Mytilus edulis: one gene and its partner. The protein of the gene in region 1 interacts with the protein of each later gene in a pairwise test. Links are inferred from orthologs where the notes say so. Each region holds a gene or a part of one and is shown on either strand. Other genes may lie near its edges.

Region 1 (16,260 bases):
GTTGTTTCTTATCTTTACATCAAAATGATACGTATTTTTAACAAAGTTATCTAACAAATAGTCTATTAATGCGTAGTTTTCTCTATTGGTATATCTTTTCTGTCTACCGTCCTTCTGTTGTCATTATCGTGAAAATGCGGATTTTTGTCGTATCTGGTCCGGTTCCGATCCGTAGTTTACACAAAAATGTGCAATGGCGGCCATAGAAAAATATACGAAAATGAGTCCGAGAATAAACAGTTTGACTAGAGATTGTGAATGAATAAGACGCCTTTAATGCATTAAATGAATTAAACATAAACTTAAGCCAATCATGATCACTTTTTAAAGAAGTATGTATAAAACTTATTTTAGCTGAAAACCGAAAACGACCTTTTAACAAAAAAAATAAATCGTTTTACTCTTTGAAATTTCGTAATACAAAACACAGATTTCGAATTGTTTTTGTGATTGCATTTTTCCATGTCGAAATTGGTGATTGCAGACACGTGGTATTAGTCATGTCACAAGTGTCAGCTTGGGATATTCGCATCAAAACAGTTATCACCATCAGGGCAATTAACACCTGGCTATTTAATCTCTTAATTGCCTTTAAAGTCCGACTTAAAGGGATTACAATTACAGGTGATATAATTTTTATGATCATAATCGATAATAGATGAAAGTTCAAAATTGAGGACAAGTTAAATAGCAACTTCAAAATAATTATAGCGTCGCAGGAATAATTATAGCGTCACGGGTATAATTATAGCGTTGCGGGGAATTATTATAGCATCACAGTGAAAATTATATGTACCGCGACGCTAAAACGGCCTGGGGAGAACACTGTCAACAGATTATTTTTAAGACAAATAGAGTTATTTGGATCAAAAGTCACAAAAATTGGCAAGTCTGAACAGATACTAGATTAATACTGCACCTTGCACAAGTTATGTAGTTTTCTTGACAAGTATTACATCATTTTGCAACTTGAATATCCAAGCATATATATTTCAATGATGTATTTCTGGGAATGTTCAATGATCCAATGATTAAAATGTTATGATCAATGCACTATATTTTGTGGATTCCTAAAGTAGTGATAAACCATGGAGGATTTAGAAATAAAGTCAGTACCATGCAATCTTTACCCAAAAATCAAACTGACCGTGTATATTTTCTCTACTAACTCCTCGGCTGTCATTGGTTGATTTAGTTCTTTCAGACAATGTAAAATCTGTTGTTCTCTGTTCATCCTGTGAGCTATGTATTCTTTTAATTTGTCAGTAGGATCATTGATCACTGAACCGTGAGAAGGGTAGATTACTGATGGGTTCAGTTCAAGTATTTTCGATAGAGATCCCATGTAGGTCTGTAGATCTTCAAATACCTATAAATAGATATTTATTTAATTTAGGTTCTTGTTAATCTAGGTACTTCTACTATTTATTGGATAACAAAGATTCAAAAGTTGGCAAAAATTATTTGTATAATATGTGACATTCCAAACTTCACTTATTTCACACTTAAATAAATTCAGTTACAAGTATTTCATCCATAAAATCTAAGATTGATATCCAAAAAGTTTGAAGATACATAAGCTATTCCAATTTGAATGAAATTACTAAACTTGACTGACAAATGTGCATGGTACCCTTAACTACCTTAATTTCTGATTATAAAATACTGGTACCCTTAACATTATCTTATCAGCATCTGATATGATGCATATCGATAGTATCAACGTTACATAAAATTGTTTTACCTTTTCAATTGATTTCATTCACATGAGGCTAACAGAGAAAGGCAATCAATTTCACTATATTGATTGTTGCTTTATTTTCCTCTATAGATAAATTATAACGCAGAATTCGTCTATAAGGGTGTATAATTACAGTATGCAGGTCTAAATGAAATAGACTTTATGCTTTTACAGGTGATACCTTCTGCGTAAAACTAGTATAGGCAGTTGTTTTTAACTCACAAAGACATAATTCCAGGGAAAACCTTATAAGAGATAATTCAACTAAAACCATCTGTTATCTGTTTTTCAAAATATTAAACTTAACAGTATACATACTCTCAAGAAAATAGGCCCTTTTATTGTTAGAAAATAAATTAAACAAGATGCAATTCTCCTGTCATTCATTGTTATTATACATACTGCAGTTGTCTCCCCTAGTATGGTATCACCAGAAAACACAGCATTCTCTTCCTCAAGGTACAGCGCCATGTGTTCTTCAGTATGACCTGGTGTATGTATAGCTCTGAAATACATAAATTAACTTTCAGTTTTAAATCATCATAATTCATTCTCTAATATAATACACTTCTTTGCAAACAAAACAAATCTGTTGAATGGACATAAATCAAGAAATGCATATACATGACAAATCCATGCATTATTGATAACTTCATATCTATTCTAAGAGTAATATTATTTTTTTTAACTTTCACAATTATTTTTTACATTTGCAGTAAAGGATCAAAATGACAATAAAACAAGCCTTTTCGTTCAACAACTTGTAATTGGCCAATTAAAGCTTTATTAACCTTAAACTGTGTTTTGTTTGCAGATAATAGTAATCCCAATTAAATTGAGCATCATTTATTTCTTGACCATGGGGATTAAGATCTTTACATGTTTGTACAAATGTATAGTACGGACACTTGCCTATTCAATATTGGCAGGGTCGTAGCCAGGAATTTCCAAAGGGGGGTTATTTGGCCTCAAAAACTCGACTTTAACAGTCACAATTCGAACAGAACGTTGACTTTAACAGTCATTAATTGTTTTCAAGGGGGGGTTCTTCCGAACCCCCCCTGGCTACAGGTATGATTGTTGATTGATTTTTTGGCACTTCAAGCACTTTTGGCTATATGTTATGGACAGGAGCCAGTTTTCATTGGTGGAGGAAGAAGTAGAGTCCATGAAGAACCACAAACTTTTGGCAGATCAGTAGCAATCATTAAGTCACAAATAAGGTTTGAGTCGTACACACCTGCCACTAGCATGAATCAGTATCATTGTTGAAGGTAGCATGTTAAAGTAGAGAGGTCTTTGTTGGTTTAATTGTGATATTTGGCTGCAGCACCGTTAAACCCACATCTCATTTCGTGTATAGCAATGACCAATATACTTGCATTGAGGTGAGAGTTGTTTTACTCCTAGATGATGGCCTCACTGTGACTTTGAAATGAAGAACAGCAATGAAAATGCTGTTTCTTTTCATTTTTTTTTTGCTATGTATGAACTGATTTTGTGTCAAGACATGACAGATACTTCATATCCTTTGTTTTTTCTATTATATACCTCAACACACAACCAACACACCTTAAAGTAGCCCCCTCTGTTTTAAACACTGTGTTGTTTTCCACAAATGTATACTTTGCTGGAGAGATGTCTAGATCCTGTTGAGATAATCTTTGGAATTTTGATACAATGGTCTCTTGAGCTGTGAATATAAAATAAAAAGACACATATTACTCAATAATAGGGTGGATGGATGGAGTGGTGTTTCAAGTCCTGCTGTAAATATTGCATGCATTCAAGGACAAGATCATGTATAGTGTAGTCAATCAGGGGTAATGTTTGGTTTAGTCTAAACATATTTCATATTGTTCAAAATGGACAAATGGATTAGACACACGTTTTTCAACTTTGTAACATCTTTTCCAAAATACCTATACATATTTATTTACTTAAAGATACAAGTAATGTTCTGGTCAGAGACCACAATTATTTCGTAGTGCATTTCTTTTAGAACATAAATGAAATATAAAAAATCCCACCTGCGCTTTCTCAATTAAATTTTTACAGTGTGTTGTACTACTTTTGGGACAAATTATATCAAAATTATAGAAAACTTCATCAGCTCTAACTCAAAATATGGACAATTTTATATTTAGGGCGTCTTGAAATCTTTTGACAGCTTCCAAAGTGCTAATTTTTAACCTTTTTCAGCTGGACCAAATCACTACTTTCCTTTAAAATTCTGGACCCAAATTTTTTTACAGTGTAATTTCACCTCCCTACTTGCAATTTGAGGCATAAAACATGGAGAAATAAATTTGGAAGGGGTATAAAAAACATTGGCAAGTAACCCACTGTCAACACTAGGGACTATATTCGTGAACAACGAAAATCAAAGGACGACAATTGTGGTCTCGGACCTTCTCTTACATAAGTAAACTACGATATGATTTTATTTTCAAGCTTTGAATAATCTCCTTTGATCTCCACCAAAATTAACTTATATATACAAGTTATTTGTTTTTACAACACCTTAATATCCACCTTTATCTCAAAAACTCAGCAAGGAAAGCTATTAAACATGTAGATAATAATTAATTGTGCAAAGTCTTGAAAATTGCTTGCTAAAGGCATGTAAAAGAGTTTTTTTTTTTTTTAAATGACCTACTAATATGACATTTTTATTGTTAACATGGTTGATGGAATTATACATTTTATAAATAGCAATGACAATTATACACTGACTGTATACTAGAGCAATGTAGTCAAAATAAGACATTCTTATTTACATTTTGGTTAAAAATAAAATCTTTATGTCTTTTAAAGGGATATAACTCTACACCTCCAAAATAATGTATCTGCATGTAACAGTAAATCAAAAAACATTTGAACAAAGATTAATCCTGACTGACAACTAGTACATTGTTGTAGCTGTAAATTAACCTAGTTAATTTTTACTTTGATATCCTTACTTGCTTCAAATCGTTCTTGTTTTTTTCACTTTCCCAGAACCGTAACTGATCCAGAAATGTTCATAAAAGAGGTAAGGTTGCGCTCCAGTCATGATTCAGTGATTCCCTATATAAATAACCAAATTTTCGCCTCAGAAAAAGGTGCTGCCACCTGAAAACCCTCTAAATCCACCTCTTCAGAAGGCATGTATTATATATTTATTATTTTCTTTTTTTAGAGATTAAATATAACATTTGTATAATAATTACATTTTGTGACTTGGTTACATACATCAGGAACACTACCACAATGGTCAGCATGCCAATGAGTTATAATTATTTCCTGTATGCCACATTTGTGTTGTGATAGGACATTCTGTAAATTCTTGATGTAATCAGGTGTTCCTGTGTCTGTGGTATCCAACAATATTCTCCTAAAATTATATATATAAAATCAAATGTATGTGATGAGGGATATGTAAACGAGACAAAAATATTACAAAGATATAATATAAAGATCAACATATACAGTCAGGGGACTTATTGAAATAAGTGATTTTTAAATCACTTATTTGAGTAGCAAATTCGAAGTTTTGTCACAAAACGTGATTTTGTAGTTTTAGTAAAAAAAAATTAACACATAGGTTTAAATAATATCTTTTCATTAGTAAAATGAAAAAAAAAAACTTTTTGCTTCTTTTTAGTAGTAAGGTTATGCCTTTGATGCTGTCATTTAGCTGCAAATTCTATTTTAGTTGAAACAAGACTTAGAGGCTGTCACAACGACAGCAAACCGGATTTATTAACATTTAATTTTGTGTCCTGGCAATATCACAAGAACCATAACTGATGAACGGTGAAAGTGAAAATCGTCAATGTCAAATTTGACCTCAATTCTGTCATCAGTATCAACATATTAAAATTTGAAAAGCTTAGGTTGAATGGTTCATGTGTAAATGCAACAATATGAATTAGTGGGGGTCATCAAAATAGTGATACTTATTCAAGAAGTGAATTTTGGGAGGGAAATTGCATGAGATATGATACTTAAACAAGTCATTTTTATCTCACTATCCTAGATTCAGTACAAGGTCATCACCTGACATGACCTGGTCATCCTATCAGTGCAGATGTTGGTTCTGATAAGTTTATAAACATATTTAGTCCCTGGATCAGTATTGTATATTTAAAGCTACATGTACATGTACATAAAATTAAATCACTTCTTCTAGTAATTAATTTGTACTACTTAAATAGGTGATTATTAGAGAAAGACAACTCTCACTTCCAACTTTTATGGAAATAATATTACTTGAATCAGTGATTTAGAAAATCACTCATTTAGGTAAGTCCCCTTACTGATATATATGCTTTGCTGAAAAGGATCAATTCTATTTTCTGTTTTAATAACCTTTCATGATCCTCCTGAATGGAAATGCTTCTGTGGTAATAATTATAATTGGCATAAATTTTATAAATTAATATACATGTTAAATAGAACCATTTTGGTTTTTTGGGGGGTTAAGGTTGCAATAAACAGTTAGGAAAAAATACTAAAATTTGCCCTCATAAATTTTACCATCCCCTTTTCATTGCTTTCTTGCAAAATTAGTTACATGTATATATAAGCTTGTAAACTGTTTGTGTTATATATGTGCATACATGTATGTAGTCAGAATCCTTCATAGATTTTATATCCAGAATATAAAATGGTAAAATATAATTTCTTTTGGGTGTATCCATGGCAACAATCTGCATTTATTTGCTATAAAATATTGCAAAAAGGGGGAAAGATGTCACATATATATATCTCCCCAAAATTTGGCTAAAAGTAGAATTTCAATCGCTTAAAGTAATACCTTTTCTTAAACTGTGTACATATATCATTCAGTAAATCCAATGAAAATCATATGTCTTTCATCTCATTTTTTTGTAAAATTGCATCAGAAACTTCGTGTAGAAAAAAAATGTTTGTAAATATTACATTAGTTTCTGAACCGATGGCCAGTCTTAAGCTATGAAAATATGGATTGTCATACAGAAAATAGCCCATTAAACGTGTAAAAAATAATTTTAATGCTCTTATAAACCATCTTTGAAGGCTAAGTTAGTACTCAGCTGTCTGAAAATGAATTTTATTACACAATTACATTCCTATTTGAAAAATCCACCAGGGCCAATGCAAACTAAACTCCTAACAGTGTATTGCTACCTAATATCTTCTTGTGTTGAATCTGAGCCTACTACAACACATTAATTTATAGCAGTCTTAGGTTGAATATATGGTAAACGGACAGAAAGTCACAGGACAAAAAGTCACAAATTTGGTAGGACAAAAAGTCACAAATTTGGTAGGACAAAAAGTCACAGGACAAAAAGTCACAAATAATCTGTTGACAATTGTTTGAATATATAAGAGAAATATCTTGCAAAATTTACTTTTTAATACATATATTTATATTAAAGTTTAGGGAATGTGTCATTATACTTGCAAAATGAAGATTTATTTGATGTTAATCATACAAAAGAAAGATTTCTTGGCACCATGAAGCCATTGAAGTGCCAAGCCACTTTGACATTTTGTTTTTTTAACAATTATTTGTTCATCTTTGATATTTTTTTGATAAATTTTGTTTACAAAGTTGGTTTTTATACAATAGTTAAAGAAAATACAAAAATATTTTGTTAAAAATAAGCTTTTTTTATTCATGTTATTCAAAGAAAATAATCAGAAAAAATGCATTTTGACTTTTTGTCCTGTGACTTTTTGTCCGTGACTTTTTGTCTGTGACTATTTGTCTGTGACTTTTTGTCCTGTGACTTTCTGTCCTACATTCTATATATACACACAACTATTTGCCACTGTACATTAAAAGAGACATTCTGAGTTCACACACCTAGGTTCAAATATCATCATGTGCTAGCCCAAGACTCAACTTCAACATGTTCTAGATGTCAGATGTAGAACATCTTTAGGCTAAAGCCAATACTCAGTACTATAGTATAGCCTAGATAAATTATATAATTTTGATGATGATTTTAATATTTGATCATCACTGACATCAAACTGAGTGTAATATTTTATTGAAATTTCACCTGTCACCTTTACCAATCAAGTAGGAATTTGTGCCTTGTAAAGTCATTGGTCTTGCATTGCATCCTAATATTCTGATTACACGTTCTGACAGTTTTTCTATTTGAGGAAGTGGAGCTAATTTCACTGAAGATGCCATTCTTCTATATTTTTTGTTAGATCACATGACAGTCATGTGACCTGGCATTTTGGGTTAAGAATGTATGCTTTGTTGAATGATTTGCTGGTTTAACTAAAAATAAAAATACTATACTAAAATTAATCTTTATTGAGGAAATAGAAAAATAATCAGACAAGGTCGGCATATTGTCGGAAACTTAAAAAATCAATTTAACGTTTGAAAGATGGCACATTGTGGCTAGAGAAAAAGCTTTTCATTGAACACGAACGACTTTCCTGATTTACTTCCGGACAAGACGAAAACATCAGAACTTTCATTGTTTTCACTTTAAAACTTTTTTCCATGAATCCAGACGGATAGTAGACAATTTATTCTTTAAAATGAGTAATCAAAGGTGAGTATCATATATAATTTTACTTCATCAGGTCTGTGATTTCTGAAGAAGATAATAAAACCATCCTTAAAATGATGCTGTCACAAACTAAAAAATAAATAAATAAAACAAATCACTTCAAACAGATACACACACACAGATCCTGTTACATTTTTTCTTCAGAAGTTTCAAGTTAGCATTGTTCTCACTAAGGCGACCCCATGAGTCCTAGACTTATCAAAATCTGTCTGGACTCACCATTTTCAAAACTTGTGAGTCCACAGACAGTGATCTGGAAGGTTTTTTTCACTATGGGCCCAGGGCCCCTCAAAAATAAATTCAATGGGCCATTTTAAAAAATAATGGGCCATGTTGTCAAATGAGTGGGCCATTTGAATTGACCTCTGTAAAAAAAATAAAAAGTATCATTATTTTTTGCCAAAGAGGTGTTGTAACTTATCTTTATGATTTTAAATAATATCATGGATATTGTTCCTGTGATTCTGTAATTTTAATGAATATACAATAACTTCTTGCAAAACGGACAATATTAAAGATAACCTTTATTTACAATGTTTAAACTGGTACTGTTGCCTTGACTTGTTCATGTTTATGTTGGGTTTTTTTTAACAATAAATTTGGGTCTTCGTCGATATCATACTTATTCCAGGCGTTCCGTATTAGAAGACATTTCAGGCACTTCCTCTGCACTTCTTGTATTATTATTATTACTTTATCACGACGACAAGAATAACAGTAGAGAGTACCATTAGTTGATAGAACAAAACAATAATTCGCTGAAGTCATGTTTACAAAATGTCAAAACGAGCCAAAGACCAAAAAACGGCAAGGACAGTTAAGCGCCTTTTATGGAGACAAAAACTATATTCATAAAAAGGCTTCGGGGGTTTTCAATCGAAATAATACAAGGCCGTAACTACCCTTGAGGCAAGTGAGGCAATTGCCTCACTAAAATTTCGACACTGATTAATTTTTTTATACATATATACAAATAAAATAGTCTTTTGTTGTTCTGTCTCAACCTTAATTTCTATAACTTTTCATCATTCCTTTAAACTATTCTTCCTGGATATAACTCAGCATCTCAACGGGTGATGTTTCTCAATTACATTAACCTAGTAACGATAATCATCATGGATCTCTGGTTAAAAACAGGCTCTTGCAGAAAAAGGAAAAGCGACACTGAAGGTAAAGAAGGAATAATTCTAGTAAACTAATTTGTTTGTGAACGTAGTCTGCGTATTGCATATAACTTCATTAGAACAATCAAAAAACGATAAGTAGACTGACAAATCAAGTAGTCGGCATCGCAAGGGGGCAGTCCTGTCTGTGTATTCATTTCTCCGTTTCATCAACTTTAATCTTTCTCTTTACAGATAAATAAAATATAAATAATATGAAACATGCATGGATTAGTTTTTCATGATCCATGTTTCTTTAACCTTAAAAATTGAAAGAACATCCCATATTCCAATTTGACATTATTGAGGAATGGTATAGAACCTTTATCACAGGATTTTGTCTTTACTTATTCGGGACTACGGAATTTCATTTCTTTATATTCGGGGTTTCGGAATCAGACACCCCCAACCCCTAACCCCTAAATTTATAGATTCTGGAACTAAAATACCACCGACTATTTCCAGAAATAATTTGAAATTACGGACCTACATGTAAACGTCAAAACTCCATTTTAATTCCCCTGTACCCATATCATATATACTTACTCTATAGATAGATCATATACATGTATCTTATCCCATTCTATCCCTAGTTTGTTTACTCTTTGTCAGCATACAAGCGAGTTTAATATTTTGTAACTGAGACTGTATGATGATGCTAGCCTTTATAGGAAAGCTTAATTCCCTTTTGCAAACAAAACTGTTACTACCGATGCTGCTACCGAATTGCTGATGGAGAAGGAATTGGAAGAAGACATTGATCATTGTGTTGATGATAATGTGCTACCTTTAGAAACACAGACTGCCCTGAAACGACTGAAATCTAGGAAAAGAGCATACATGAGTGGCGAGAGGTTGTGCGGTCTTGCCATGCTCCATGTTCATCGCGATAAGGATATCAGCAGACCAAAGTTATGATTCTAAAACAATTTGACTGAACCCACCATAGAAATAATTGGCAAACTCTACTGAATCGATGTTTGTTCTATGTTCTGGCGGCAGATTTAAATTGATATTTGGATGATTATCTTACATACAAATTCAAATAAAGTTGTTAAAAATTTGGTATTAGTAAAAGTCTTTAAATATGAACAATTTATATAAAAACTGTCCAAATTCAAAACATTATCAAACTCTCTAAAAATGCCTAGAACGCAGGATTTTGCACCATTCATTCATACCCTCCAAAAAAATTTAACGCCTCGCTTCGCTCGGCTCAATTATTTTGCCTCACTAAAATAAGATGCCTAGTTACGGCCTTGTAATAGCAAGCTAAACTAAATTAAAAGATTATCATTAGAGTTAAATCTCGTCTGTAATAGCCAAATTTCACAAATTTAAAGTTCTTTACAAAAAATTGTATCATGAATGATGGTTAATTACGTTTTTTGGGATATCAGTTAAACTGCATGGTTCTATTATTACCATAGGAAAACACCTGAGACGTTAAACTTCATGGTTCTATTACCATAGGAAAACAACCGAGACGTCCCAAAAATGTATATAGGTGCTCCTATGATTGGAGGAACATTATACAGTTGTGTACACACACATGGCGGCATGCAAACGATCGGAAATCCATTTGACGATATCTAAACGTTTCGAAACGATGTGAAAAATATCGTGCGCCACGTGGGCGCTTACATTTGTCACTCTATGCGCCATTTCTGGTCAATATGCGCTATAGGCGCAGGGCGCACGACCTTCCCGATCACTGCACAGACACAGATGCATCAAGATTGAAATATTTTATAATATGAGGCAGGCATTACCTGTGAAAGGGGACGAAGTCTATGATTTTTTTTTAATTCAAACACATCTTAATTTCAAAACGGAAATACCGTAACGTTTCCGATTTTGGTTCTGTTGTGAGGGATTTTAGTTGTGACGTTATTTTAGTTATGACGTCATATGCAATGTAAACAAAGAAACGCTATCATTAGGTAACGTTTTTTCATATCAAGAAATTATTTAAAATGAAATTGATATTGCGTTTCTTCCTATTCTATACTGGACTGATAAATATGTATTTTACTCAAAATTTCATGCAAACGAGACCGGAAAAAAGGAAGTACATTGTAGATTTCTGCGCAGATGCAGGAATTCAAAACATGACATAAAAAAAAATTGAACGATTTTGAGTTCATTAGTACCCCAAATTTTCCCGATTTTTTTTTTTATTGAATTTTCTACTGTTATTGGGGACTTCGTCCCCATATAAACTGAGCACAGTTAAACAGAAATATCTAAATGGACTCGCCTTAAAAATTCCTTAGCGAGAACCCTGAGTTAGCATGATGTCTCAGTCCAATTTCAGTCCTCTTGTGCTCGTTAGCAGCTTAGAGCTCTGCCTTTATGGCTTTAGATCCAAAGATTGAGGGTTAGATGTTTGGACAGGGTATGGTCATGAGGTTTGACCAGGTCATAAGATGACCGTCACATGTCTAGGTGATAGGCAAGGAACTGGACAGGGTTTCCAAGTGTAATACTTGGGGTTGTACAGTGGTGGACCTGTGAGCTGCTTGGATGGTAGTCCAAATGATAATGACGTCTTGCAAGGCTACATGTATATTAATCATTTTCTGAGGCATCCCTGAAAAAAATTAAGCCTTGCAAGACGTCATAATTATTTGAAATACTTGGATGGATGGTACACAGCCCTGAAAAAGAAAACGAGAAGAGTGTTGTAGACCTCAAGATATAAAGGTAGCCTCTAACAGGGCCTCCGGGTGTGGGAGTTTCTCGCTGCATTGAAGACCCATTGGTGAACTTCGGCTTATGTCTGTCCTATGGTCTGGTTGTTGTCTCTTTGACACATTCCCCATTTCCATTCTCAATTTTAGTTGAGCCAAAGAAGATCTTCCCTAGATTACAGTCCTTATATGAAAAGGAAAAGAGGCCTAATACATGTAGGTCATTTGATCAAAATGGCAAGAGGGGTGCCCATGGTTGGTTTACAACATGGACAACAACAGGATGACCTGCACTATATGGCTGCATTTCACATGGAAAACGTAGTATCAGTGACAATCTAAAAGTAAAAATAAACATCTCTTCTGTGGTCAGGTAGTTGAGCTTGAACCTGTGCAAACTAATAACCAACCAACGAGTCTGTATATAATTATGAACAACCTCAGATACTTCCAAGCTTTAGCTACTGTTACTAGTTTTAGTAAGGATGTTCAGGAAATAAGCATCGAGGACTTGTCTGATAGTAATTCTTGTACTTTAAATTCAGAAATTATTGCAAGGTTTTTATTATTGGAAAATTGTGACAGGGTTATGTTATAATCCCAATAATCTTAAATCTCATTTCGATTTGTTTATATGAATCACACAGGATTTTTCTCAATGTTGCAATAATTAAATTGCATTTTATTCTAAAATGACAAAATCGCAATAACAAACATGATAAATGCACACATAATTCCTGAATTTATAGTACATGTATATCATCATGTAGGGATAATGATTGAGACTATGAGTTAGATTTCGAATTTGACCAAAATGAACCAACCAATGATCATGATGATTATCTTGTGTCAAAAGTACACCTGAGAGGAATTACTTTTGGATCATCATTTTTGTATTAATATAACAGTCAATGACAGTAAACTACGATGTTTGTGAATATGAATAACATATTACAATATAATTTAACCAAATAAAAATGAATTGTTCAAATGACAAAATGAAAGAGTCATTTTATTTTTGAGTGAAAATAAAGGTCTAGTCAACATTTGTTGGGTCCGGCAAAACTTTTATAATATATTGTAATTACTATTGTTGTATATTGTAGTGAGCTGACCAAACTAAGTGATGAAAGTTTAGCCAAACCACCTGATGAAGTATTTGATATTATTTGTAAAATAGGAAGAGGGTAGGAATATATAGCAATTATATAAACTACTTAAATGTGTCAATAAACTAAACATGCTAAAGATTGGGCCACACTTAATAATATTGTGGTTTGTCCAAACTCTACCCAAACATTGAGAAAGTGGGTAGGTACATACATGACATATGTAGGTAGGCATTTTCTTTTTTTTTTTTTTGGCAGAGAGAAATGTAAGCACTAGACATGTTAAATGGGTACAAGTCTTCATGTCTATCTGAATAAAAAAAAGATTTTGAGTACACAGCTACAATGTATTTTCTGGGTAGGTCAATGTAGAGGGGGGATAGGACCTTTATCGGGACTCCGGGATCGGGTGTTTTAAAACTCGGGATTTCGGGATCCGGGAATCCTTTTTTTTGGATTTCAGGATGTCGGGATTTGCTTTATTTAAATTCGGAACCTCGGGATTTCGTTTTTTTTTAAGTCCGGGATTTCGGGATCAAGACCCCTCCTATCCCCCCTCGTCAATGTAGGTAGGGTAAGGGAAAACACACCTATTCTTCTTTATGTCCTTGATTGTAATTGTTGGCTGAACGTCTAGTGGTAAATAGATATAGGAAGGTGTGGTATGAGGGCTAATGAGACAACTCTCCATTCAAGTAACAATTCATAAAAAGTAAACTATTATTTATATATAATTATTATAGTTCAAGCTACGATCTTCAACATGGAGTCTTGGCTCACCCTAAACAGCAAGCTATAAAGCGTCCCAAAAAATTACTATAGTAAAACCATTCAAACAGGAAAACCAACATTTTGTGAAAATATGTTATTCTATACATGATATATATATTCCAGACGAGAACAAATTGAACATTTATTTCAAATAGGTACCTTTCGCAAAATTCAACGAAGGGAATTCTTAAGTGTTCTTTTTGTAATAGCATGAATACATAGAATAGGCACTCCAAAAAATTGAAATTGAATATATCTTATAAATTTATTTGATGCATGGGTCTTTTAACAATTTGAATCAAAAGTTAGTTTAGATGAATAATGAATTTGACATTGTTTTGATGTGTTGTAACTTGTAGAACTTGTACAAATGTTATTTGTGTGCCTTTTTCCTGTACATATATAATTACTTAGCATGACAGCTCAATCTTCAATTTTAATTTTGATCGTCTATTAAAAAGAAACAACACATTTTAAGTTTCAAAGCTTTCATTGATGTCTTTAGGTGTTATAGTGTTCAAATTAGGAATGACTTCATTTTGTGTGTATATATAACAAAGAAGATGTTGTATATATGATTGCCAATGAGACAACTCTCCACAAGAGACCAAATGACACAGGTTTTTAAGAACTATAGGTCACTGTATGGCCTTTAACAATGAACAAAGCCTGCAAAGTCAGCTGATTAAAGCCCTCAAAAAGACAAATGGTAAACAATTCGAACGAGAAAACTAATTATACTTTGTTTTGTAACAGGTCTTATGGCAGTGTGTATAAAGCCCTCCATAAAGAATCCGGTCAGGTTCTGGCCATCAAACAGGTACCAGTGGATACTGATCTACAGGAAATCATTAAAGAAATATCCATAATGCAACAGTGTGATAGTCCATACATAGTTAAATATTATGGAAGTTATTTCAAAAACACAGACTTATGGGTAAGTTTTTGCAGAGTTTGTCATGTTATAATCTTCAAGATTTGAAAATCAAAAGACTCAACCCTGCACTTTGCTTAAAGACACCAAATAAAAAACAGTTAGAATATATTACCGGTAAGTAGGTATATGAATTTAGGCCACAATTAAAAAAAATTTGGTTTGCCCAAACCCTACCCAAAGGTTGAGACAGTGGGTAAGTAGGTAGGCATTTTCTTTTTTTTTTTCAAAAAGAGAAATTGAAGTATCGGGTGTTTATTAGTCTTCATGCCTATCTGATTAAAAAAAACTTCTTCAAATCAGGACAATAAAAGAATTTGAGTAGGCTGCTTTTTTCTGGGTAGGTAGCGTTTGGGCAAACAAACCTATTCTTTTTTATGGCCAAATTTGGTTTGAGTGCCAATAAGACAACTCTCAATCCAAGTCACAATTTGTAAAAGAAAACCATAACGGGTCAAAGTTCATGAAGTACAGTCTTCAACATGGACTGGAGCATTGGCACATACCCAACATCAATCTGAAGAGAGTGGTAAAATAGATTTTAAAAAGATATAAAACAATTTTATCAGAAAACAAGAAAATGATGAGCTGCAGACTTTCAAGACTACAGTTACCATGGTTACCTCTAAATTTCCATTTTAAGTATTTGATTTGTTTGGTTACAATTGTACTTTTACCCTAAATTTTCTCTGTATTCATTTTTAGCACTATATTTTTGTTAGAATGAGGACTTTTATAAGACATGTGTGACTTGCATGCAAAATTCAGATTTAGTTGGAATAGCCTTTACTTTTTTATAATTTCAGATCGTAATGGAATATTGTGGGGCAGGATCAGTATCAGATATAATGAGATTACGCAATAAAACTGTAAGTATTATCAGGAGATAAATCTTTTGCACCAAGTTGGTTATCAGGTGCAAAAAGCATCAATTTTGCCAATTTTGCGTCCCATTTCTTGCCCTGGAAAAACAAGGGATCCTGACAGATTTATCCATCTGTAGTCTGCATGTAGAGTAGACCCCAGTAAACACATACACCACAGCAGTTCTTAGGTCAGAGTGAAACTGATCTTGCTATGTACAGTAGTTTAAAACATGTAATTTTGACCAAAAATGCGTAACTTTTTTTTTTTATTTCAACTGGACCTGCAAAGGGAAGTAGTATTTCAATAATAAACAACATCAATAGTTATATGCATGCAGGTTTACACTGTGGAAGTTTGTAGGCCTCTAAACTGAGTGTGTCAGACGGGAAGCCAATCCCTTAAAAAAAAACCAG
Region 2 (16,671 bases), on another chromosome or scaffold:
TACATATGAATATTGGACTACACTAGATGATTTCCAAAGTGATCAATTTCTAATTAAACATTTATTCCATGAAAATAATAAATCTTTCATGTATAGTTATCAACAACACACACAAGATAAATATTTGTGGAAAACAATTCTCTCTCAGATTTTAAAGTTCTTCTCTTATTAAAAAAATTGCATAACATTTGAATGTTTAAATTTTATAAAAATAGTCGTGTCCCAGAAAACAGCCAACTGTTGCCATAGTGATCTTTAGATCTGCAACAGTCCCAAGTCTGCAGTCTGAGGTATACTGATATAACACACCAATGACTCAAGCACCTTCGATGGTACAACAATGAAGTTGTTGGACATTGTCACTTCAAGCATCCATGACTTTGTCCCAAAGGTGGATCTAAGGAGTGTGTTTTTAAAATAATCTGCAACTATTTTGGCACAAACTGTTCTTTCTTCACTCATGAAATATCTGAAATCATTTCAGCTTCTGTATATGTTGACTCTTTGGCAATCAAACCACATCTTCTTGTTTTATACCGATCGCAATACACTTCTCGCACAAGTTTAGAGAAAGCAGGAAAACTATTGATTTGTAGCTTGATTTGAAGAATGGGTTTTGCGGATTATAGAATGCCATACAGTGACCTATAGTTGCTAACCTATATAATTCATAACATAAAAATTAACTAATGAATATGATTAGCAAGAAAGAAAGACAATTATTTTGCAAAGAGTAATATTTAATGAGGTTGTTGCAATGCAAGAGTAGTGGAAAACAGCGATTGTCTTTTCTAGAACATGTAAAAGTACTTTACCTTTTTCTAGACTTTTGACATTTCTGCTTGTAAGAGTGATTCTAATTCTGTGAATTGTTGCCTCCTCAGATGCAGGGGCTTTCCCTTCCTTGTATGACTGAAAAAAATAAAACATATTAAAACATGCATGTATTGGTCTCAATTTTCCAAGACAATTTTGATTGGTGGAATCAGCCATTGTTTTTATCGGAAGTGTTTCCGTGGAGTTGAGTTTAGAAAATTTGCACTACGCGCGGGAAACTAACAACACAACAAGAATATTACAGGAAACTCCGAAAGTGACATGTAAACATCAGATCCTCATAGAAACGAAGATGGTGGATTTACAATGGAAAACATTCTGGAAAATGTGAAGGTCAGGATTATTAGTGCGATCACTTTAAAGGTAGGTCAGTAGTGGTTTTCTTTCAACGATTTATGAATGGAATGTGAAATACTATATCTCGAGTGAACGCGATTGATAGTAGATTATTTTTACCGATAACTGCTATGAATTTCAGCTGAAGGCAACTATAGTTTATGTCATTTTCATTATATATATTTCATCTTGTGATTATGATCTATTGTGTAATTTTTTTTAACCTGTTTTTATTGTCACAGCATTTACAACTTTTACTGCAATAAAATTTTCATGTTTAATTAGTAGGGTCGGTCAGCAGTTCTTCCAACTTTACATTGAGCAAATATACAAGATTTGGCCGAAATAATAATAAAATCAAAGGAAAATGCTGCCAAATAAAAATGAACATACTTTTTTTTGGCCCAAGCATTATTTGACAAATCAGAAAATTTTAACCAATTTTACACTTACGACTATTGCAGTAGCCAAAAATTACAGTTTCATGCCTGGTGCTACAGGCCATTCCTACCCTCATGCAAGCAAACCTTGTAAAATACTTTTGTAGTGTATTGTCCATCAATCATTCAATGACAATGATATGAATGGATTCACAACCATCTTTTTATGTAGTCCAAATAATTATGACGTCTTAAAAGCTATTATAATTTTTTTTCTTTGACACCTTACTTCGAAGTAAGGTGTCAAAGAAAAAAATTATAATAGCCTTTCAAGACGTCATAATTATTTGCAGGGTTCGACACTAACGGTAGTCCGGTGCCTCCCTAAAATCTAGGAGGACTACCAAAACATGGTTAATCAGTAGTCCTGTGGACCACCTGGAAATTTGTATATGGTCTGGCTATTTCAATGCTAAAAATTGGCATAAAAGTCCTCCCAATTATGTTTACATTATTCAAAGACAGTGATGACAGTGATGGCATTTGGAAGAACGTAAATTTTATATTGTTATTATGAAAGCACTTTTGATATCCAGATTTCTGATCAGAATCTTCACAGTGTTTGTAACACATGGGATTTTCAATGTAAAATGAAAATGTCTGATAACCAAAATGTGAAGAAACTGCAGAATAGACAGCAAAGGTCAGCAATAAAAACGTAGGTGTCAGAGATAAAAAAAAAATACTTCCCAAATTTGGATAAACAAATTATTACCCCCAAAAAAAGAAATAGGAAGAGTTAGTTTGAAAAAAAGCCAACAATATTTTTGGTGGCTTTCTTATTAAAAAAAAAACCATATATGCATGTCATTCATAATGGTATTAAAGGCATTTTGTTTTAGCAACATATCCACTGAATTGCTTTCAACAGTGATGATGAAGTTGACCTCTAGTTCACAAACAAAGACTTTGTATCACTGTGGTAGTGTGGATTTTTATCATATTAATCATTTATATATTTTATATGTTTTATAGGTTATTCCGACACACCATTAATTATATTCTTTCATTTGCAGAGTAGTTTACTTAAGTTTACCTTTATTCTATTGATTGCCTATTGATTATTCATTGATCCATAAAATCTAACTGTTTACCTTGTAGCATTTACCTATTATTGATTTTTCTATCAGTACTCACTGTTCACTAGAGTGTTTAGGTTTTCTTGTATTCTGATTGGTTTATTAAGCCTTGCCCCCAGTTTTGGTGGTAGTTTTGAAAACAGTAATGGAGGATTGATGTCTTTGTTGTGATCCTGATATATTTGTATGTTTTGATGCACTTTGTGCTCATAGACTTTATATTGTGATTGATTAGTAGCTCCATAATTTCTATGGATTAGTATAGTGATGGAATTCATTCTGGAACAGGACATCATGACTTTATATGAACCATATTTGATGTGAACCTCTGTTACTATTACTGTAGAAGTATGAAGATCGTTACTGTTAGTATTGTGTAGACTGTCGATGTTAGTTATTAAACTCAGTTCCACAGACTGGGTTAATAATAATTCTATGATTACATCATTGTTGAATAAAGAACCCTAGACTAAGATGAAATGGACTTGTTATTATTTGACCGTCCAGAAATCACCTTTTACATCACTACAAGAAAAATCTTATAAACTGTTTGAAGAATTAATGAAAACTTTTGACTTATTTTTATCCTTTTTTTCTAAATAATCCTGGAATAAAAGGTCAAATAACTCCACCTAACAAGGCCTTAGAAATTGTCTCAGATTGCAGATTTTGCATTTCGTTTTTCAAAATTTTCTGATGGTAAAAGTTCAGGAGTAATAAAATTTATTCACTGAATGTCAACTTTAATTTATCTGAAAAAAAAAAAATATTTTCAAAACTCAAATGAACATTTGTGAGCTTTTGAGGTGCTCAGATGGCAGGAAATTGCATATAATTTCGAAAAATTTTCTTGGGGGGGGCATGCCCCCAAACCCCCCTAGCTAGTTCGGGCCGCAACGCGGCCCTCACCGGTGATAGAGGTGGACTACCAGGACTACCCCAAATTTTTCCTTGGTAGTCCTGTGGACTACATCACTAGGTACAGAAAGTGTTTTTTTTTTTAAATCAACTGATCTAAGAAAACTTTACCTCATTTTAAAGGCATTGTGAAGACATTTTCAAAACAGTTTCACTTTTATCAATATACATAATAACAACGAAGAAATAGAATATTTTCAAAATGGAAATTTTTACTATTCTGGAAAAACTGTTTCCTCTCTTTAAAAATAATAAAATATATTTTTTTAATCATTTTGGTTATAGTTTTGTTTATATTGCTTCTTTTACATCTTGTTAGTCAATTTCAATCCTCCATATTAAGTTTTTTGGTCAAAATAGAAGCCTAAAGCATGAAAATGTCAACCACTCTCATGAAATTCTATCGTCCAAAGTCACGTAACATGACGGTACCTTTATATATTCCTTTTTTCAGAGCATCAGTTGGTATATTGAAAATGTAAAGTAAAACTTTATAAACATTTGAATGTAAAGAAACAAAATATAAATATGAATATTACTCTTTATATACAAATGTAAATGTTTAATTGTGTGTGTGTGTATAAAAAAGAAGATGTGGTATGATTGCCAATGAGACAACTCTCCACAAGAGACCAAATGGCACAGAAATAAATAACTATAGGTCACCGTACGGCCTTCAATAATGAACAAAGCCCATACCGCATAGTCAGCTATAAAAGGCCCCGAAATGACAAATGTAAAACAATTCAAACGAGAAAACTAGGCCTAATTTATGTACAACAAATGAACGAAAAACAAATATTTAACACATCAACAAACGACAACCACTGAATTACAGGCTCCGATCCTGACTTTGGACAGGCACATACATACAGAATGTGGTGGGGTTAAACATGTTAGCAGGCACCCAATCCTTCCCCTGACCTGTCACAGTACAACATAAGAACGAACTATAAAAATCAGTTGTACCATGAGAGTCAGTTGTACCATGAGAGACAAGAATTGTTTTGAAATATGTCATCTTTGTATTGTCATGATAGTATTAGAATGTTCCCTTTTCATTAACATTCTATTTAATGAAATATTCTTATTCTTATATACAATGTAGCATGTATATTAAATGCTTATAAATAAAAATAAACAACAATCTTTTACATTTTTAACAATTATTCTACAGGACTAAAATACCTGTTGCACTGAAAAACAATGAAAATAATAGAACATTATTATTATTCGAGAAATTTCAAACAAAATAATTATGTCAGATCACTGTAAATACTTATATGTATAAAAGTAAAGTAAATTCATATCTGTATATCAGTTACAATATTTATACAGTGAAATCTGTAAACCAATCTCATTCAGGACTGAAGTTCAAAATGCATTGAATGTGAATAGCATTCGAAGTTAACTGCCGCTACTGCATGGATTTCTATGTATGTTTTTAGTTGAACATGTTGAAACTACATACATTGATTGTTGTTAAACCACATTATTCATTATCCTTATTATCTCGTGTGCAATAGCAAGTGTTTGAACTATCTTTGAATCACAATAAACTGGCTGTATTATAATGCCAAAAAAACCTATCGCCGCTGATTTCCAATCAAAACTAAACCAAAAGTTGGTCATGCAAGGGAAATAACTCTGTATACACAAAAAGAAGGGTTATTTATAAAAAAATAATTTTGATATGAACACAGCTATCTAGATTTATTTATTGGACCTAATTATTTAATTAATATATTAAACTTAATAAATAAATACATTTTATGGCTGTATAAAGTTCCCTTGTATTTTTTTGAAACAAATGTAACTTTCAAACCCTTGTTTGTACCTCAAATATTTCATCGTATTCCCGAAAATTATAATATACAAAATCATGTATATTCATATAATATCTATCAAAAGCAATCAGAACCTTCTGAGTCTTACCAAGTTAATAGAAGGCCGTAATCGGAGGTCACCCAAAGATTTTAATTTTTCACACATCTGGGAACAATTATTTAGGTTAATTTGGAGTTATCTCCCATTGGTTTGCCATACCTAACATCACCTCTAATGTTAGTGTCAAACCCTGATTTGGACTACTTTTTATGTTAATTTTACAAATATTTTTTTTTCCAATCACGCCACCAAAAAATAACAGCAGAATAATTATAATCATTAATTATTAACATATTGATATGAAACAAAAAGTATAAAAAAAAAATTTGTTTTGATTTAAATGAAACAAGAAATACATATATATACCTATGGTAGTCAAAATAATTATGACGTCTTACTAAGGCATAAAGAAAAAAATTATAATAGAATTTCAAGACGTCATAATTATTTGGACTAATACCTATGGATACCTATGTAGGGATATATCATATAGCCATTTATAATTATAGGTATAATTTTGTGTCAAGTCAGAGAAAGTATGGTGAATTCAACCAACATCTTCATACTTTCAGCGATCATTTATCATTCATATTGTAATATATATAACATTCTGAAAACTGAATAGTAGTACCATTTTCTGGCCGACTTAATTAAAGAATCTTTAAACAGAGGTGAGCCAAACACTTCCAGCTACCAGGCAGTTTTTCAGAAAAGAAAGCACATGGTTGTTGGGGTAGTTGATTAATTAATAATGGGGAAATATTATTTTTACCATCTGATGTCTATTGATTCAACAAATACATTTTGTATTCCCTTTAAACGTATCTTATAATCTTTCATAAAAATAATGATATCGTAATGTGAAGTTGACTGGTCAATACAAAAATTAAAATTATCTAAAATTTTCACTGTCTTATTTCCCCATTTTAGACTTGGAACAATCTGTATAGTTTCGGATTAATAAAAGTGAAACTGGAGTTAAATGTTGATTGACGTTTAATCATATATACGTATATGAAATATTTGCAAACAGAAAATGGTATTCAAAATTTACGTGTAAAATAAATTTTTAAGTTTATATTTTTTTTATCAAAATAAAGGGGAAGTGACGTTATGATTCCACGTTTAGCAGGCAAAATGGCGACGAAAATGACACTTCTTCTTGTCGGCGTAAGACTTCCATTAAAATTATTCCGGAAAAACTCCTTGCACACATATTATCTTCATATCAATACTCTCATTACTTTGATGCTTTATAACAATGACTTTTTGCATTGGTGGGCGCTTATGCACGACAAATCCTATCACCTGTTTTGACAAAACATCATTCATTATGATCCGGTTTCTAAGTTACATATCTATAATAGTAAAATTACGAGGTCCAATTTGTCAGCCGTCATCACGTAAAAACGACGGATCAAAGAATTCAACTTTATATATAACTAATATAGTACTAAGGTGTAGATTAAAAATTACACCACTCCAGGCCCTTTTGTTTTCCCACGTAATTAATATTGCCAATAATTAAGAAGTTCCGGGTCGAGTCCGATACCAATAGTATATTCACCTGTTACCTATTACCTTATCTGTACGTTCCGCATCTGACAGGCGCACCAACAAACGGTGTATTCAGGATTAATATGCTATATATGCGGGTCATAATCACAGGGTTGACACTACTAAATTGTCCAATTGTTACCTTTTGTAGTATTTTAATCAGTATGACTTTCTAAGATAACAATACGAATACTAAAAATCTGGACTAAAAATAAGGCGTATAGGTACAGTTTTCAATTTGTTAGCGGGCATGACGTAAAACAGCGAATCAAAGAATTCAACTTTATTTATAACTAATATAGGACAATGCTGTTGATTAAAAAATACTCCATTCCAGGACCTTTTGTTTTTCAAATGATTAATATTACCAATAATTGATTAAAGTTCCAGTTCGACGGGTTCAAACAGAAAGATTTGAAAGCATAGAAAACTGTGTATCTTATAATCAGCATGACTTTATCAGATGACAATACTAATACTCAAATAATGCTTGTGCATAGTTATATACTTTAATTCAGTCACGGACCCGCAATATCACGGGTGTGTTCTAGTTTTATATAAAGATTGAGCTTGTCTTCTTCATTTATCTTCTGTTTATTTACACGGTAGAGTTGATAAAAAAAACTCAACATGAAAGCTTATTTTGATTTTGGATTAAAGTTTGCAGTGGTAAAATATCATTCAAACGAATATCTGATCGCATGATTCATTGTAAAATTGTTTTAAGTTCATCAAGTGTCTTCACGATTGTTATTATGCAGATAGTGTTGTTTTGTCAATTTCATAATGACAGCAAGTCTAATTAAAAATTATGTGGGTATGAATACCATTTTCAGTCGGTAATTTTCAGCTATTTTTTTGCATCACATTAGCTAAATTTTAACATCAGGTGGCCAAATATCCTAATTATGATTATAATGCCAATAAGAAGCCACTGAAAATAGTAAAACACACTACTGTCAAGAGAAAAGGAAATCACAGATACTTCCAGAAAATGTTTATAACATACCATAATGTATGCAGGGATCTCCATGGCCTGTTTAACGATGGCGCCCCGCCATCGTTCAAATTTCTTGCGCCATTGTCAAATGACTTGCGCCATCGTTCAAATGTCTTGCGCCATCGTTCAAATGTCTTGCGCCATCGTTCAAAACTGTGATCGTTTTTATAGCCTGATGCCATTTTTTTAGCAATTATAATCAAATGCATGTAATTGCATAACCTTCAGGCTTTCTTTATAGTATAATCCAGTTCTAACACCTGAGGGATATCTGAATTAAGATCGCTAATCACTTGTACCTAAGCTTGTACAGGTAGATCAAACAAAGCAGACAGGAGAATATTATCTGAAGATAGACGATTCATTTGTCAAATTATTTAATTAAGTTTCCGCAAATGCTTATGATAATTCAGATTAAATAAATAAATTATTAGTCCAGTTACAAAGTTTAACAAGTAGAACACATGCTTTTATTTTGACTTACGCAATCAGCATCCCCCTTTTTAAGAAGTACAAAATAAGACGTAAAATAGTCATTATTATTTCATCGCAAATAACTCGAGTTTTGCTGTACTGTAACAAAAATATAGAATTACTTTAAAAGTTGAAAAGTAAAAACTTTTAATATTTCCTGTAAATAAATATCGTATCGTAATTCCGAATTCATTTCGTAGTTTACAATCAAATTGATACATCCGCGTTTCCGGTTTCTATTCAGACTCGAAAGATGCATGTTGAATAGCATCTATTTGCTAGATAAGTCATTAAAAACCTTTTCATTTGACAACGTTGCTTTACAAATCTTTTTAACCTTTTACATAACCCGTATGACTCGTTTTGTCGTTGCTGCAAACCAGCCATACCGGTAATGGGTTCATGAATTCTGAATTTGACAATGTCCGTGAAAAATAAGCTCCACATGAATTTTAACCCCATAACAATTACCAAAAATAGCAAGAAAACTACATGGGGACCTTTGTGATAGCTATTGGTCATTCTCGACTAAGGGAAAGGGAGGGGGCCTTTGAAGAATTACAAACGGCAATTATTGAAAATATATATACTTTTATATAGTATTTATAATGAAAATTCAAATAAATATAATTTAAATAAGCAATGAATTAGCATCTTCACCTATCCTTATGTGGAGGAATGAATTACTTTCAATCGCGCTACGCTGTACGGCGTAGATACAGTTTATGATGGTGAAAGTTCCTCCATCGTTCAATTTTCATCCATGGAGATCCCTGGTATAACAAGTTCAAAATTTTAGTAACTTGTTAATTAGCTGGCAAGTAGGATTTCAATTTGGCGAGTTCCAAGAAAAAAAGGTTTCACACACTGCCTTACTGATATCACTAAAAATTAAATGTCGTTATGGAGGTTTGTTTAAATTAAAAATAAAAAGCGCGAAAACGGTCAGTACCACATGTTTTCAAAAAGTCAAATTTTGGTAATTTGTGTTGCATTGAATAAATAAAATATGATCGTAACAGAAAATTAAAAAAAATTGTACATATTGGCGTCGGAAGACATTAATTTGTAACTGCCTGCTTGACATCTTATGTATTTTAGACAATTTGTTATTAGGACGACTTCCATGACTGGTTACCGTTAATTTTATGAAGAAGTGGTACCAGCACTTTTCATTTCATTTCAGAAGTGTACACATAATTTTTACAATCAATTCATTAGTCCCACACATTGTTATATGGCTTCACTGTTGAGGTGGTTAGATAGTGCAAGACCTGGAAATGCACCAAAAAGGCCGTTTCACATGTCTGACCGAGTTACAGAGGCTCAGAAAAAGTATGAGAATAAACGCGTCCGAGAATTAAAAACCGGTTGGACATACGGTCGTCCCTGGCTCCAGTACAAGAATCAAGCAATGTTCTGTAGCTACTGTAAGGAGCATGGAAAAGGGCCAGGCATTTATGAAGGAAAAATTGTAACCTATTGATACAAACTTTCTTCTTTTCTTGGTCTGCATCAGAAAGGATGATCTTTTTAACTTTCAAAAGTTAAATAATTTGAATGAGAAATTAATTTAAACTAAAATATGATGGCAAGGGGTTTATATCTACATGTTTGTCTGAAATTCAAAGAAAAGAGTCTTAAACCGTCTTGTAAACAGTTTTGAGAAGGTTTTTATTGAAGGAAAGTAGAATTTTTTATATTACAATACATGGAGAAAAAAACTACATTTTTGACAAGTTATACATGTTATATACACTTCCAGATACAAAAGTGTAACCTCAGAATGCAGGATTTTACATCTAATCCAAATTTTTTCGATGGGAGGCATGCCCCCAAACCCCTCTAGGGCCAAAATTAAAAGATTGTATGTTTGCCCAAACGCGACCGACCCAAAATAAACCCGCCGACTCAAATTCTTTTTTTGACGTTTTTTGGAAGAATTTTTTTTTTTCAGATTTATATTGGGTCCACTCCGTCATCGTACAAAACTTAATGTTTGTCGTCTTTGCGTTTGAAAGTAATTGTGAATAAGATTAAAAGAAAGCATATAAGAGACGCAGTTAATCGATATTCGATGTTCTCTGTATTTATCTTCTGATTTAACGAACGTAAAGAAGTAAAACAAGTGAAGTGGCACAGTTTTTTTACGCTGTAGTTGTTTGTACTACCAAACCCTTAGCTATATGCTCAATGTTAATTTCATCGTGTTATCGAATATCTGATAAGAATATTCAGGTAGATTTGTTCAAAACCATGTGCAATCGAATATTTTCAATGTTATTCTGACAGGAAATGGATCCGGAAGTTGCGAATTTACAATCTTGCAAGATTTTGTTTTTATTGAATAAAAAGGAATTATTTCTTGATAAATTCTTCCTTTATCATGTAAATTAGATGCCCTTTTATTCAAATAGTTCAAATTTACAAGTCTCGTTAGACAGTCAGTACGTTGCAGTTTGGGAGAATTTGATAAAACTATAATTGCTCACAGAATCAGAAATATAATCTTAACTGATTGTAACTCCTTCTGAATAATTTATTGCAATATAAATATAAATCCCTTTTGACAAGAGAAATCTGACTTTTGTCAGAAATATTTTTTCACATGTGCAAATTATGGACGCCATATTGGATTTTTATACAATTTGTGAGGAAGCCTCTAGAACCATGTCCTAAAAATAAAGTCTTCAGAAAACGTTAACTTTATGCAATTATATTTTATCAATAATGATTATTTTCAAAAATTTAAACTTGATTATTTAAAGAAATAAAATTATAACAAATACGTTTTTAGTTTGGAGATTCTACAGAACATGTTTTGATCTATTTATAGCCAAATTAGTTTACCTGTGTGATAATGTAAAATATAAAAAAAAATTTAAAACATAATAAAGACACAAACTAAGAATTCATATAAATATTTTATAACATTTAATCTATTTTAATAGAAATAGGATTTAAAAAACTGCAAACAAATTTAATCATTACATAATGGTAGATACATAATCAGCTGATATTTTTTTTACACAAACATCGTGTTGATGGAACTGTTGAAAATCACTTCACAAATCCAACAGCCCTTTCACACAGTTAGCAACTGTCAGGGTTATAAACATTTCAGGATACAAATCATATAGTAAACTAATTTATTTATAGAGGTTTTAAATTCATGGCTTTTGGCTGTCTCTATAAAGGTTTGACAGAGAAAAAAAAGATATACTGTTTTAAGATCTTTTAATATTATCATGCAAATTCAGAAAAAAAAAAAAAAAAAAAAAAGAATTTGCCTACCTACCTACCCACACCCAGTCATCATGGGTCGGGTTTGGGCAAACTGAAATATTTTTAATTGTGGCCTAGTTGGTTCAGATCACTTGGTGATCCTCACCGGTGACACAACTTTTATTCGGTCTAGTACATATAACTTTGGGCTAGTATTTTTTTTTTAACTAGCCCATAGGGCTTGTGCTTTCAAATTGTTTGGGTACAGACTGATGTAGATGCCCATAAACACATAAAAGATGTTATTGAGACAAAAAATTATGACTGAATTGCAATGAACTCTTAAAGTGGTCAATTTTCTATTTCCAATTTACAGATTATCAGATACATGTTTCTTCAGTGCTTATTCAACAAACTATAGACATTTTTACACTTGTATGCAAATTTGTACATCATTTCTTAAAATCACACAAGTTCCCATAAAATTTGACATCACAATTTAAAAAATCTGACATCATAATTAGAATTTAATTGTTGCTTGCTGTCAGAAGATTATTCAGAGCAGATCTTAGGTCATTTGGAGACCAAATCCAGCTATATACCAAAGTATCAATATGTTTATTTGGCTCACAACTTGGTTGATGAAAAATGATAATGACAGATTCACACTCTGTAAAATTATTTTGTTCTAATTCCAGGTTGTTATCATGGCTACTTACTGTAATGGATTCTATGTACCAGGAGTAGCACCTGTAGAATTTAACAGAGAAGAAGCAGTAGAAGTTAGGGTAAGACATTCTTAACAGTATGAATATAAAGATTCTAAAACCATTCTTTCCTGTGGGATACCTTATTACAGTGGAGAAACCCAAATTTCATTTATTAAACTCACTACTAATAAAGAATTGAAACATTTTGTTATATTTCACCTCAGGATGCCTATTTACCAGTCTTTAATATTTTTTGTTCAAAATGTGGTAAATAATTTATTACCTCTGCTGCAATTATTCATGTCATTAAAAACCATTAAAAAGTTTGGGGAAACAAAAAAAAGCCTTGGATTAAAAGACAATAACAATCAAAACCAAGGAGTAAACAAAGACTAACAAAACCAAGGGACATTTACATCAACAGTTATAAATAATAAATAAGAAACAACATGAACTCCACTAAAAACTGGGAGTGAAATCAGGTGCTCTGGAAGGGTAAGCATTTCCTGCAACGTATACGGCACCTGCCGTGTTATTTCTTTGTTCAGTTCAGTAATGATGGAAGGTTATTATGACTGAGGAAGAATATCAGATATGATTTCTGACACACTTTTGTCATAATGGCCGATAACAGTTTTATGATGAAATTTTAAGTGGTTTGTTTTGACTCTAAAATGACTCAAATTGTTTCATTTTCTTAGCTTCTGTTCAATATTAACTTATGAACAATAGTTTTATCCCCATAAAAGTATCTGTCTGTCCAAAATGTCTTGCATGCACTTTTTCATTACAAATGGATGGGCTAAATGATTATTGATGACACTATTAATTGTAAAACACTACCTTGGGGCCAAAATAAAAAGATTGTATGTTTGCCCAAACGCGACCGACCCAAAATAAACCCGCCGACTCAAATTCTTTTTTTGACGTTTTTTGGAAGAATTTTTTTTTTTCGGATTTTTTTTGGGTCCGCTCCGTCATCGTACAAAACTTAATGTTTGTCGTCTTTGCGTTTGAAAGTAATTGTGAATAAGATTAAAAGAAAGCATATAAGAGACGCAGTTAATCGATATTCGATGTTCTCTGTATTTATCTTCTGATTTAACGAACGTAAAGAAGTAAAACAAGTGAAGTGGCACAGTTTTTTTACGCTGTAGTTGTTTGTACTACCAAACCCTTACCTATATGCTCAATGTTAATTTCATCGTGTTATCGAATATCTGATAAGAATATTCAGGTAGATTTGTTCAAAACCATGTGCAATCAAATATTTTCAATGTTATTCTGACAGGAAATGGATCCGGAAGTTGCGAATTTACAATCTTGCAAGAAGATTTTGTTTTTACTGAATAAAAAGGAATTATTTCTTGTTAAATTGTTGTCTTTAATTATAATCTTCCTTTATGGTGTAAATTAGATGTCCTTTTATTCAAATAGTTCAAATTTACAAGTCTCATTAGACAGTCAGTACGTTGCTGTTTGGGAGAATTTGATAAAACTATAATTGCTCACAGAATCGGAAATATAATCTTAACTGAATGTAACTCCTTCTGAATAATTTATTGCAATATAAATATAAATCCCTTTTGACAAGAGAAATCTGACTTTTGTCAAATATTTTTTCACATGTGCAAAAGTAAAAACATGTTATGGACGCCATATTGGATTTTTATACAATTTGTGAGGAAGCCCCTAGAACCATGACCTAAAAATAAAGTCTTCAGAAAACGTTAACTTTATGCAAGGACGTATATTAGTTGTTACGTCCTTGCTTTATGCAATTAAATTTTATCAATAATGATTATTTTCAAAAATTTAAACTTGATTATTTAAAGAAATAAAATTATAAAAATACGTTTTTAGTTTAGAGATTCTACAGAACATGCTTTGATCTATTTATAGCCAAATTAGTTTACCTGTGTGATAATGTAAAATATAAATTTGTTTTCAAAACATAAAAAAGACACAAACTAAGGATGGTAGATAATAATTCATATAAATATTTTAGGACATTTAATCTATTTTAATAGAAATAGGATTTAAAAACTGCAAACTAATTTAATCATTACATAATCAGCTTAATTTTTTTTTACACAAACATCGTGTTGATGGAACTGTTGAAAATCACTTAACAAATCCAACAGCCCTTTCACACAGTTAGCAATTGTCAGGGTTATAAACATCTCAGGAAACAAATCATATAGTAGACTAATTTATTTATAGAGGTTTTAAATTCATGGCTATTGGTTGTCTCTACAAAGGTTTGACAGAGAAAAAAAGATATACTGTTTTAAGATCTTTTAATATTTTCATGCAAATTCGGATAAAAAAAAAAAAAGAATTTGCCTACCTACCTACCCACACCCAGTCATCATGGGTCGGGTTTGGGCAAACTGAAATATTTTTAATTGTGGCCTGGGCTGTTCATAGTCATGATACATGAATATAATCCTCATCCTACATGACATAGGGAAGGTATTCAAACTAACTTACTTACATTATAATTGTAATATGTTGTATAAAACTAATAGTATTGCTGGATGGGGATATCTGTTTGTGAGAACACTCGCACTTTTAGTTTAATAAAACTATTTTTCACTATAATGATATTGATTTTAATTTGCAGGCTGTCAAAATGACCAGTGTAAAAACACAGCTGCCCTTTGACTACTATTCATCACCATTCTGTGTACCTATAGGCGGAAAAGACTATAAAGCAGAAAATCTAGGTAAAAGTCATATATACATGTACATAAGCATATGATTTGTAGTATAATTCAGTGAACATATTTCATTATGAAAAAATACATTTTAACAACCTGTATTGTAGGTCAAATAATGGTTATGAAAAAAAAGGTAAATTGTCATCTCAGATTGTCAGATAAACTAACATGACTATAGCTATTAAACAAAGTTTTAAGTACACTCTGTTTTGTTGATTTCATGGGTATAGGTAAACCACTTATTAAATTTTCAACAAAATTCCGAAAAAAACCCAAAATCAAATATTTACAATAAAACAATGCTTCTTTAATCCAAAAATTAGTAATGTACCCATGAAAATGTATGCCTCTACAAAAAATGATGTATACATTGATCAGCTTAGAGGAAGGAAATCACACAAAATCGGGAAATGCAAATTGTAGAGAAAAATATTTAGTAATCTTTGATAGGGTTTTCCTGTCTTCCGAATGAAAACATTAAATACTGTTGACTGTTGTTATTTTCTGTTTTTAGGTGAAGTTCTTAGAGGAGACAGAATTGTAAATACTCCCTACAAAGTAAGTATGACTTCTAACAGCTGGATACAAATATAATTATTTTATAAGATAAGATAAAACATGACAGAAAACAAAGAATATACCAGATAGATGAACAGAAAAACTGTGTTGAAATGTTTTGATAAGGAGAAAGATTTAGAAAAAATCTTAATTTAATGTCAGACAAGATTACATGGATTATATTGGATTAAGCATGATAAGATTATTAATAACGGTTCATGTTAGAGGTATGCTTTGAGCTTTAACAATTATACAGCTTCTAGTATATATATTAATAAGATGTGTTATGATTGTCAATGAGATAACTATCCAACAGAGACTAAACTACATAAATGATGGCAACTATAAGATCTGACTTGGGCTTACCATCTCAACACCAAATATCATTACAAATGGGAAAGACTCACTTATTTGTATTTTTTATTTTGTGTGTTTTAATTGTTTCTGGGCACTGCAAAGTTGATCTTTTTTGTAGATCCAGATGGCTACACCAAAAAAATGTTCTATTCTTTGTGATCAGAAGACCTTCTCTGAGAAACAATCAAAAGAAATGGCAGAGAGAATTAAACATTCTTATTTTGTTCATTTGTAAGTAATCTACAAACAGTGTAAACATTTGTCTGTTGAATGTATCCCTATATTGACACAATTATATATTGTATCATTAAAATATAGAGAAAACAAACAAAAGTTACTGAACAAAATTTTTGTTCTGCCAATCTTATAAAAATTGAATATGTGAAAAATATGGTTTATTTTAAATTCTATTATAATTGGATTTCTGTTTTCCTTTTTAAAGTTGTATTAAATCAAAACTTGGCAAAAGAAATAGAGTTATATAAATGTAATTCACATCGAAATTGAAAACATGTAGGCTAATGAATAAAATAACACATGTGATTGGTTTAAAATAATATGCATGATCAT

The links.
Region 2: the proteins of serine/threonine-protein kinase 3-like (region 1) and small ribosomal subunit protein uS10 interact in a two-hybrid assay, tested with the Drosophila melanogaster proteins (2 studies listed by BioGRID). The link is inferred for Mytilus edulis from reciprocal best matches to the Drosophila melanogaster genes hpo and RpS20.

The regions. Positions count from the first base shown.
Region 1 is NC_092355.1:58,081,718-58,097,977, reverse strand, and holds the start of serine/threonine-protein kinase 3-like, read left to right. Parts: upstream 1-8,148; 5' UTR 8,149-8,278; coding exon 8,279-8,292; intron 8,293-13,272; coding exon 13,273-13,353; intron 13,354-14,802; coding exon 14,803-14,983; intron 14,984-15,786; coding exon 15,787-15,849; intron 15,850-16,260. Other genes in the region: endoribonuclease LACTB2-like, read right to left, coding at 1,148-1,369, 2,144-2,246, 3,314-3,434, 4,954-5,117, 7,780-7,916. UniProt on the Drosophila melanogaster protein: Plays a key role in the Hippo/SWH (Sav/Wts/Hpo) signaling pathway, a signaling pathway that plays a pivotal role in organ size control and tumor suppression by restricting proliferation and promoting apoptosis.
Region 2 is NC_092344.1:106,805,410-106,822,080, forward strand, and holds the start of small ribosomal subunit protein uS10, read right to left. Parts: upstream 6,291-16,671; 5' UTR 6,273-6,290; coding exon 6,270-6,272; exon of another isoform or gene 6,132-6,269; coding exon of another isoform or gene 6,129-6,131; intron 913-6,128; coding exon 816-912; intron 412-815; exon of another isoform or gene 217-411; intron 1-216. Other genes in the region: transmembrane 9 superfamily member 4-like, read left to right, coding at 6,611-6,667, 12,452-12,541, 15,090-15,192, 15,701-15,744, 16,220-16,332.